Drosophila melanogaster: one gene and its partner. The protein of the gene in region 1 interacts with the protein of each later gene in a pairwise test. Each region holds a gene or a part of one and is shown in the gene's direction. Other genes may lie near its edges.

Evidence for each region. Proteins that work in one complex are often made in the same cells at the same time.
Region 2: the proteins of Pdha (region 1) and tn interact in a two-hybrid assay, tested with the Drosophila melanogaster proteins (one large-scale study listed by BioGRID).

What each region holds. Positions count from the first base shown.
Region 1 is NC_004354.4:4,700,604-4,705,797, forward strand, and holds Pdha (pyruvate dehydrogenase E1 alpha subunit), read left to right. Parts: upstream 1-1,721; 5' UTR 1,722-1,928; coding exon 1,929-1,988; exon of another isoform or gene 1,989-2,088; coding exon 2,089-2,289; intron 2,290-2,951; coding exon 2,952-3,516; intron 3,517-3,591; coding exon 3,592-3,914; intron 3,915-3,984; coding exon 3,985-4,167; 3' UTR 4,168-4,662; downstream 4,663-5,194. Other genes in the region: CG7024 (uncharacterized protein), read left to right, coding at 4,961-5,083.
Region 2 is NT_033778.4:18,985,578-18,990,366, forward strand, and holds the start of tn (thin), read left to right. Parts: upstream 1-1,766; 5' UTR 1,767-2,114; intron 2,115-3,806; exon of another isoform or gene 3,807-4,111; intron 4,112-4,198; 5' UTR 4,199-4,289; intron 4,290-4,789.

The sequences.
Region 1 (5,194 bases):
AAAAAAGATAGGGAGAATTATAATAGTTGATATAACATAGTAATTATTATTTATTTGATTATTCTAATGAATTTTAAAACTAAGACTTTCTAGGTCAAAACCAGGTTAGGGAGGTCATGAGGGTGGTGTGCAAGCAGTAATAAAACAAAAAGGCGGAGAAAGTCGAAAGCAAAAGCAAAGACAAAATAAATAATTATCATCTTGTCGTTTATATAAGTGTGTGCTATGTGTTTCTCCGAATCGGATTTATGTTATATAAAACAGAAGAACAGTAACAATTTAAAGGCAAATTTCAAGGAATGAAAGCGAACAGTAATAAGAAACAAGGAAACCAAAAAGTAAATATATATATTCATGCAAGAAATACAAAATAAAGTAAACATTGGTGTAAATTAAGCAAGAACCTAAGTAAAACCTACTAAAAACAACCAAAAAAAATAAGAAGCTTAATACGTAATTTCCTGAAAACAACAGAAGACATATGCAGAAATCACACACATTTACCGTTACTTTTCACACACATACAGCACCTCTCTCTCTTTAGCTATTGCGTTTTAGATTATTGCTCAGCACGTTTTTGCGTAGACACAAAACTATTTATGCTAACGGTAAGATAGAACCTCCTCTCTCTCTCTCACCCACACACACACACACCTCCCCCACTTACACACACACAAGCACTCGCAAAAACAAGAAGACGAAGAGAAAAACTAAATTTTTTTCTTATAATCGGAATGCCGGATTTCTAACGGGAAAGGAAACAAAAACACAACAGGACTTCTAATAAGTGTTTATACATACAAATATATATATATATACATGTACATGTATACATATGAAACAAAACAAAAAACAAAGCAAAGCATAATTTTTTGTCATAATGCAAAATATTTGTGTGAGAAACCAATTTTTGATGTAACAGAAAAACGCGCGAAAAATTGAATATGTGTAACGGTAACAGAGCAAAAGATAGATAAAAGAAAGTAAAAAATTTATTTCATTCGCTTAGTTTTTCCCAAACGATCGATCCATTTCCTCATTTTCCGTTAGTAACTTTTAAACTCAAATCTTTTAGCTGCCATTTCTAAAGCAAAAAAAAAAAAATGAAACAACAAACCGAGAAACCAACAAATACAAAAACTAGTTTAAAATCTTAGTTTGTAAAGCGTTTATTTGAATTTAACTGTTTAATTCTACTTTACCTATTTCTATTTAACTGGTTTTTTGTGCAAGGAACAAACATTACTTAAGTTTTTGTAAGAGATTAGTGAATTATGTGAGCTGAGTGCGATATAGAGCAGTATTGCAATTGCAACTGCAATCGCAAATGTGGATTTATGGAGGCAATTTCAAGTAACAATACGAGTAAGAAATGAGAAAGCAAACAAAAACCAAATGAGATCTTCAATGTGAAATAAAAGTACTTCTTTGAAAACCCTCGTTTTATTTGGGCGGCAAAGTAATATAAAATGTGATTGAGTAAGTATTTATTCGAGTATTTCAATAACCGCCAAACACTACTATTATTTTGATATAACATTGTGTGACACATTATATAAAAGCTTATTGAATATTTTACGTAAACATTTATATTTCAAGTTATATTGAAAAAGAAAGTTCGATAAGCTAATTTAGTATTTTTTGAAAACAGGGAAAGCTGCAGTATTTTATTTAGGGTCACACTAATAGGCCAAGTGGTGCGTTATTTTTCGCTATAACGCCAAACGGTTGTTATAGTTGTGCAATATAGTAGTTGATAAACTAATCTCGCTACCTTTTTTTCCGATTGTTTAACTTACAACGACGCGCGGCGGTGCGACTGAGACACCAGATATATAGCGTGCGATTCTAGATCCGGACAATCCGCATATAGAAAGCCCCCATTCACATCCAATTTCTGTCAGTCGAACGAGAATAACACAGCGAAAATGTTGCGTACTCTGTCACGCGTTAGCGAATTGCCCATTATTGTTAAGCAACTGCAAAAAGTACGTAATCCCAATCCCGCTTTGCACCCACTAACATTTCTAATTGTTGTCACTAAAAATGCAATTGAACAAATCCATTCGATAATGAAAACACTAAAAGCGTTGCCATAACAACAACAACAACAACATCATCATCAGCGGATGTCGGATACTTAGCAACAACAACAACAACAGCAGCATCGATATCATCAGGAATGGGAGATATTCATCGTCGTTTTTCGGTTTATTCCAGAATGCAGCCCAAGCAGGTGTTTCGAAAACCAACAATTATGCCACGGAGGCCACCGTTCAAGTGAATCGGGTGCGTATTATAGCATTAAGTACTTGTAACTCAGGAAAATTCAAAAGTCGGAAGGGAAAAAATACGGTTACATAATGCGATTTTCGCCAGATAGCAAACGGTTTGCGTGTGTGTGTGTGTGTGTGTAAGTGCAGGGTTGCATTTTGCCGGTCAATCCGCTCATTTTCAAATGACAAGGTCACGCAGTAATTTGTAGTTTTCCGTCTCCCACGCTCTTTATCACCGTCTGCCTTTTGCGTGGCCGACGCGTGACTGTTCACGCACCATATAACATATAGTCTTATCAACGATCCGCCGATTTTCACCCTCTCTCTCTTTCTCTCCGTCTGTCTGTCTGGCTCTCTGTTTACGTCGATTCTCACGCCATAAATTAGCCGCCATAAATCCAAATTTGGTTTTTGGAGCATACTTCCGAAAATCCTCGATATGTGGTTATAGCTCTCTATAGATTAGTATACTTTGATTAGAGAAGCTTGAAGCCTATGGTTATTTGGTTTATCCAATCAAACTGCTATCATTTTATTACTTATCATGCGTTCCAAACGTTTCCGTTACGTTCTTATCAGATGTGTGTGTCAGTTGTTAATGTAAAAGTAGAAAACGTTTTTAAAATTAATGAAGTTTAGGGATCTAAATTCTAAATATGCTTTCCAACTTTGCAGCCCTTCAAGCTGCACCGCCTGGACGAAGGACCCGCCACGGAAGTGAAGCTGACCAAGGATCAGGCCCTCAAGTACTACACACAGATGCAGACGATCCGTCGGTTGGAGACGGCCGCCGGTAATCTGTACAAGGAGAAGATCATTCGCGGCTTCTGTCATCTGTATTCCGGCCAGGAGGCATGCGCCGTTGGCATGAAGGCGGCGATGCGGGATGTGGACAACATCATCTCGGCGTACCGTGTCCACGGATGGACCTACCTGATGGGCGTCTCACCCAGCGGCGTACTGGCTGAGCTCACCGGTGTCCAGGGTGGCTGTGCCCGCGGCAAGGGTGGCTCCATGCACATGTACGCACCGAACTTCTACGGAGGCAATGGCATCGTGGGTGCTCAAGTTCCTTTGGGTGCCGGCGTTGGCTTGGCCTGCAAGTACAAGGGCAATGGCGGCATGTGCCTGGCCCTCTACGGTGATGGTGCCGCCAATCAAGGACAGGTGTTCGAGGCTTACAACATGGCCTACCTGTGGAAACTGCCTGTGATCTTTGTCTGCGAGAACAACAACTACGGTGAGTGCTGTAGAAAGTGGAACAATGCTAAAAGATATTTACTTAAACCAAATGTTGTATAATTATACCCATTAGGAATGGGCACCAGTTCTGAGCGTGCTTCCTGCAACACTGATTACTATACCCGCGGCGACGCTCTGCCCGGAATCTGGGTGGACGGCATGGATGTGCTGGCCGTGCGCAGCGCCACCGAGTTCGCCATCAACTATGTGAACACTCACGGACCTTTGGTGATGGAGACGAACACGTACCGATACTCTGGACACTCCATGTCCGATCCGGGCACATCGTACCGCACACGCGAGGAGATCCAGGAGGTGCGCCAGAAGCGTGATCCCATCACCTCCTTCAAGGAGCTGTGCATCGAGCTGGGTCTGATTACCACCGATGAAGTTAAGGTGGGTTTGGCTTATAGGGTTTTATTTTTGTTATGAGTTATGATTGCTAAAAGAAAAAAACATCTTCCAGGCCATCGATCTGAAGGTACGCAAGGAGGTCGACGAGGCCACCGCCTTCGCCAAGTCCGATGCCGAGCTGGGCGTGAGCCACCTCTGGACGGACGTGTACTCCAACAATCTGGAGCCCAAGCTGCGCGGCACCATCGCCTACGATATTGATCACATCCAGGAGCGCAAGGGCGTCAATCACTAAGTCATCGGGCCAACGAATCTGATTCGGGAACTCACAAGAACCTTAAACGAAACAAGAAAACCGAACAGCAAACACAAATCACTGACAGACAGACAAGAAGACACAATAACTCAGAAACTTGGACACAAGCGAAATCTCTAGATCATAAGCCGAAAGTTGAACGATGAGAACCCCGTAGAACGGAACGGATCCGAAGAGACCCACAAAAAGCTTAGCTAATCGGAGCACTCCAACCACACATCGTAGCGCACCACATAACTCTGGGGTACTGCATTGGATATTATATTGCGAACGTGTTCAATAAGGATAAAGCGAGGTGTAAATTGTTGAAAATATAAAAATCTAGAAAAATTAATCCAAATTAGTTTTCTTAACAAAAGTGAATCAAGTATGTACTTTTGAAATGTGAAAATCTCAGTCTGTTTCACCTATACTTGCACTATAGAATTTTGATAGATTTATAAGATATTAATAAACGGAATAGATTTAATAGATAATTCGATTTGTGGAAGAATTACAGTTCGAATCAAAGTAGTATTTGAAAAGGAGCAGTTGTCAGCTCCATAAGCAATCCCAAAATCGTTATATTTCCTTCTCGTTCTGTTTAGTGACAGTTGCCATCTCTGTCGATTTGCTTATGATTTTACTGTCGATTTCTTTTCGGTTGAGTACAAATCCATTTTTCAACAATTTCCGATCATATTCAAAATTTTAGTGCGTGGCAATTGCCCATTTGGCTACAAGCTCATTTTAGTGCCCCGGTGTTTGGGAATTGGTATTCGGGCAAGGGCCAATGATGAAGTTCAGTTGTGTCCGCGTGGCGATGAGATGCAGTGGAGCCCACTCCATCCTCGAGAGAAATATGCTCTGCAGGATAATAGGGCGCCACAAATGTAGCTGTTTGACCCTGGAGAACGTAAGTGTTTTGATTATCACAAGAAGGTCAATGGATAAGTAAATACCATTGAAAAAAGCTATATCGTAAAAGTTATATTTTTCATTTTGAATTAAATTATGTACTCTGAAA
Region 2 (4,789 bases), on another chromosome or scaffold:
AAGTGTCCCCTGGTCGAGTGGCTTTCACTGGAGGTTCCGGATTCCCAGCATACGTGTCCATCAATAATGCGTCCTGGCTGCTGGCTCCTGGCTCGCATCGCCGCAGCCATGCCTTCCATTCGTCAATTGGCCATCCATCAGTTCTAATTAATCATGGCTCGGGCCTAATGAGTTGCTCTCAAATATGCTGGGAATGAATAGATGCCACTATTTCGGACGCTCCGCTAATGGAAATGGGTCTTAACTCGTGCTATACAATTGTCGCCGTTCCGATAGCCTTGTTGCAGTGTTCACAATGCAATGTCCGCAATACGCAATTTCAATTTCACGAGAACCAGCAACTGCGCACAAATCCAGCGGTGATTCTCATGCACATGGAAAATATACGAATCCTTAGTTAATTCTTGGAAAGCAGTTTGATAAATTAATTACTTTCAAAGGAACATCGTTAATTAATAATTTTCGTTATATCAGCATCGAATAGGAGGGGCACACACTTTAACTTTTTATTAGTGACATCAAAATATTATATTGATGAAGAGATGCTGTTCGAAACCTAATTATGTATGTTATATATATTCAAAAAATACATTTGGTTACCATTTTAGTAACTTTTTCTCAGCGTGTAATAGAGGATATAGCTGTGGCTATGGCGTTGTCAGTGGGACTGACCTAGAGTCCGTCAACAACTTGAGCTGCCTTGGCGAACGTGTTGACATCTTTGTTTTGGCCCGCTCATAATTCGCATTTTTTCGGTTTGTTTTTGTTTTGACTGCGGCTGCGGCTTTGTTTTAGCTCGCTATTTTTTCCGAAAATATATTAACGGCTAACCCGATTCATCAGCCTATTGACAAGATGTCATGTGGGACAAGCAAATGACCGAACAAAAGACCGAATGTCTGGCGAGGATGGCTAAATGCAGACCAATCATACTGCATGTGATGACGGAGAGGAATTTGGTATTTATAGAATAATAAGCGAAAAATAAGTAATATTAAAGAACTAAATGATTTAAGACAACATAGTAACAAATGTTGATCTTCTTAGGCATATTATTAATATATATTACGTAAACAAGTGCTTAGAAACAGAACTTAATAAATTAAGATGAAATAAATATTAATAATTCAATGACAAATCTTAAGCGTATATATTTTATTATGATGTCTAGAGTAAAAAACCTACCTATCTCTAAATCATTTGTCTTTCTGTTAACACTTTTAATTATGCTGAATTCTATAACTACATAAAACTCGCGCGATATTTGCTAAGACATCAATTTCCTTATTCTATATAAGTATCAATATTTCTATAAATATTTAAAAAAATTCGAAAATGAATCATTCTGCCAGATAAATGCGTGGGCGTCGATCTTTTCCTCAGCTTTTCTTTCCGCTGGACTAAAGAAAAGTGAAAATCTCACTCTAATAACTGCGAAATAAGCCAGAACAATAACAGGTAAGAATACGTATTGAACAATATATTGTCGCTCTTGGACTTTCTGCGCGACATTGTAAAAAGCGAGAGGAATTCTTACAGACAATTATGGTACATATATTATATTATATGTATATATGTATATAATTCTTGCACAGGTTCGTTGGGGTCGGGTGAAGCTGGGAAACAACAAAAGTGCTACGTGAAAGTGGGAAGAAGACGCAGAAATATTTGTGGCACTTTTGTTGTTGCCTCAGGTTATATTTATAAAATTTCACCTCAAGAACGGCTGATCATCAAGCGTTCGAGAGTCGAGCAGAGAAAAACATTCATTTTCATTTCTGGCACGCTCGCGAGTGGACGTGCGGACCGATACGCCGATAATAGCTATAGCCCAGTTCGATTCCCAACCACCTATATCCATATATATATATCTATTAAGTGTATATAGAGGGGTGCAAAGATCTACCCAAAGATCTTTCACCTGTCGCGCAGTGCGTGAGGGTGCGTCCAAAAGCACCAGTAATCGCGACGCGAGTGTTGGTTTGAGCCAAGGCGGTAATACATCGTACCTCAGTTTGAAAGTGAAGTCAGTGAAAGTCCTTGTGCCGCCAAGGCATGCGAATAAATTTGCAAAAGTTTCGCGAAGCATCAGGAAATAGAGGAAGCCAACGCAAGTGAGTCGAACGGGGTGGATACGTCCTGATTTTAAGCTCGTTTTTGGAAACGCATTCAAATGGAGATGAGCTCGACGCATTCAATGGCTGCTGATTATGTAAAAAAAAGAAGAGAGAAAACGGCGAAAGGCGTGAGAATCTCGGCGAGAGAAGGAGCTTGGGAAAATGTCACCTGGCTGAAAATTGCGCTTTCTCAACATCCCACCGTGTGCACACTCCCACATTCGTGAAAAGCTGTCAAAATTATTTTCATCTCCTTCGGCTTCGCGTTCAAAATTTATTAACAAATTTTGACATAATCATGTATACAAATATATGTTGATGAGGATCTGTTATACGCTATATTACGTGTGTGTGTGTGTGTGTGTGTGTGTGCATATCTCATCAGAAAGCATGGCAATAATTTGCCCACACTCACACACACAGGCACGCACACAGAGACGCACATTGCTCATACGCCGTGTTGCTGCCTTATTTTTAGTTCGATTCAATCAGCGACATTTTCAGAGATTTTCTATTTCCATTTCTGTTGTTTGTGTTTGTCTTTTGCCCGCTGCTCGCTTATCATTGATTGCTTTGTTTGCTTTTGTTTCGGTTTCGGTTTTGCTTTTGCTTGTTCCTTCTCCCATTCTCGCCATCCATTTGGAATGTTTGTGGTGGGCTTTCTCGTATTTATTTTTATATTCACACCTCTCACACAAAACAATTAATTTCTCGTTTCGAAATATAAAAATAAAAATAATACGGAAGATTAAGTGAGAGAGGCGTGTGCGGTTTAAATTTATGTGCCGCCGGAAAGTAGGCAACAGTTTTTTCCAGTTTTCCTTTTAGCTTTATTGCGAGCACTCGCCTCTTTTCAATTCACTTCATCTGCCCTCCAACCCCATCCCTCCTCCGCTCTTTTCGAGTGTGCTTCAGCTGGGCGGAAGTTCAAGGTCGCTGGCAGCATTAAAGAAGTGCCATTGCAGCACGCTGGCAATAGATATCCACCTAAACTAGTTTTGATTCGAATTTACTGGCCACTTTTGCAACTTAAATTAAAAACTGCTCGAAAGTAGCGCGTTGGCAACTTTAAAGTAAATGTATTGCTTATGATTTCTTAGTGTTGTCTCATTTTCTTTATCCATTCATTTAAAGGTATTTTAAAAACTACATAAAGTTGTACACCTTTTTGTTGAAAAGTTTTTGTTTCAACAGACAAATAGCATTTATATTACCAAAATCTAATATGGAAAAATATTCCAAATGTTTCCGAGCTATTGAAGTTTTTAAGTCACTTGTTTTAAGTCAACTTGTTGGTTGCTGAAATCTGTATTATGTTTAAATATTGCTATATTCAAAAGCTTAGTGATTGCAAATAAAACCAATCTGCAATAATACTAAAAACGAAATCATCATAAAATGTATGAATTGATGTATAATTTTTCATGCCACATTTTACTGTATCATTTTAGTAACGCAATGAAGCTCCGAATTGTGCTCATTAAAGAAAATTAATTATAAGGGATATCAATGCAATTGTGTGAACAATTAATTTCTATTAAATTCCCTTTACGCGTTCGATGCTCAAAAGACCGCCGATGTAATCATGTTATTATAGTTTCGGAAATTGGTTTTCCATTGTTTAATTGTTTCCTTTGGTCGAAAGGAACTCGGCCACGGCAAGTTAATTAAAAAGATCTACCTTCGCAGCCATATGCTCGACCCCAGCTGATTATTCATTAACCTGGTCAAGAGTGTGTGGCCCACCGAGGAGCTTATCTGTCGCAGTGCACAATAAGCGAACCTTAAGCGCATTCCGAACTTCATTATCTTCGACTGTCAACCGCGCCCAATCGAATCCCATTCAATACTATCCAATCCCATCCAATCCCATGCCATCCAATGAATTCCAACTTTCACCACCCGCCTTCATCATTGTTTTGCGTGCCGCAGCCTTTGAGGCCGTATAATTAAGTTGGCATGATGCGGCTTATGCGCAGCGTGTTAATGGCCAGGTAAATGGCTACTCGACCCTCACTCCCCACAATTCACTCACAATTGCCTTTGGCTCTAAATTTAATATATTTTCTTTTTAATTTCAGCCAGCAGAGTTAACAGCCAAAGGAACAGGCCCCTTTCAAGGGCGCCTCGGATACCCAAGTAGACAATAAGAAGAAAACAACACTTGGAAACGTAAGTTATCACCGCTGAAATTGGAACGTCACAATACTTTGTAGTTTCTATAGTATTCCTTTGGGAGTGCAGCTAAAATTTCAAAAAGTTTCGATTGCATCTGCTTCTCCCGTCTGCTCCGTTTATTTATAGCCCAAAAATACAGTGCAGTTTTCATTTCTTTATTTGTTTTTCTTTTTGGCCTAGGAGTGCAGACTGCAGTCTGTGAATTCCGGGCTAGTGAGTTCTATTTTCGGCATATTCCCATAGGGAGATAGAATGATATATACAGAGCTAGAGGAGCGAAGTTCTGACCTTGAGAAGCATGCACAGAAAAAAAAACTGCGAAACTGGATAGAATTATTTTGGTAAAAGTAACAAATGTTTGTGTAGGGAACTTAACCTACTTACTTACCGAATGCAATTATATGTAGTTAATAGATACAGATAGATATTTTGAACATGTTTGAGAAAAAGCTTAATTGTAACTTTTAGGGACAACTTTTTGAATGGAATATGAA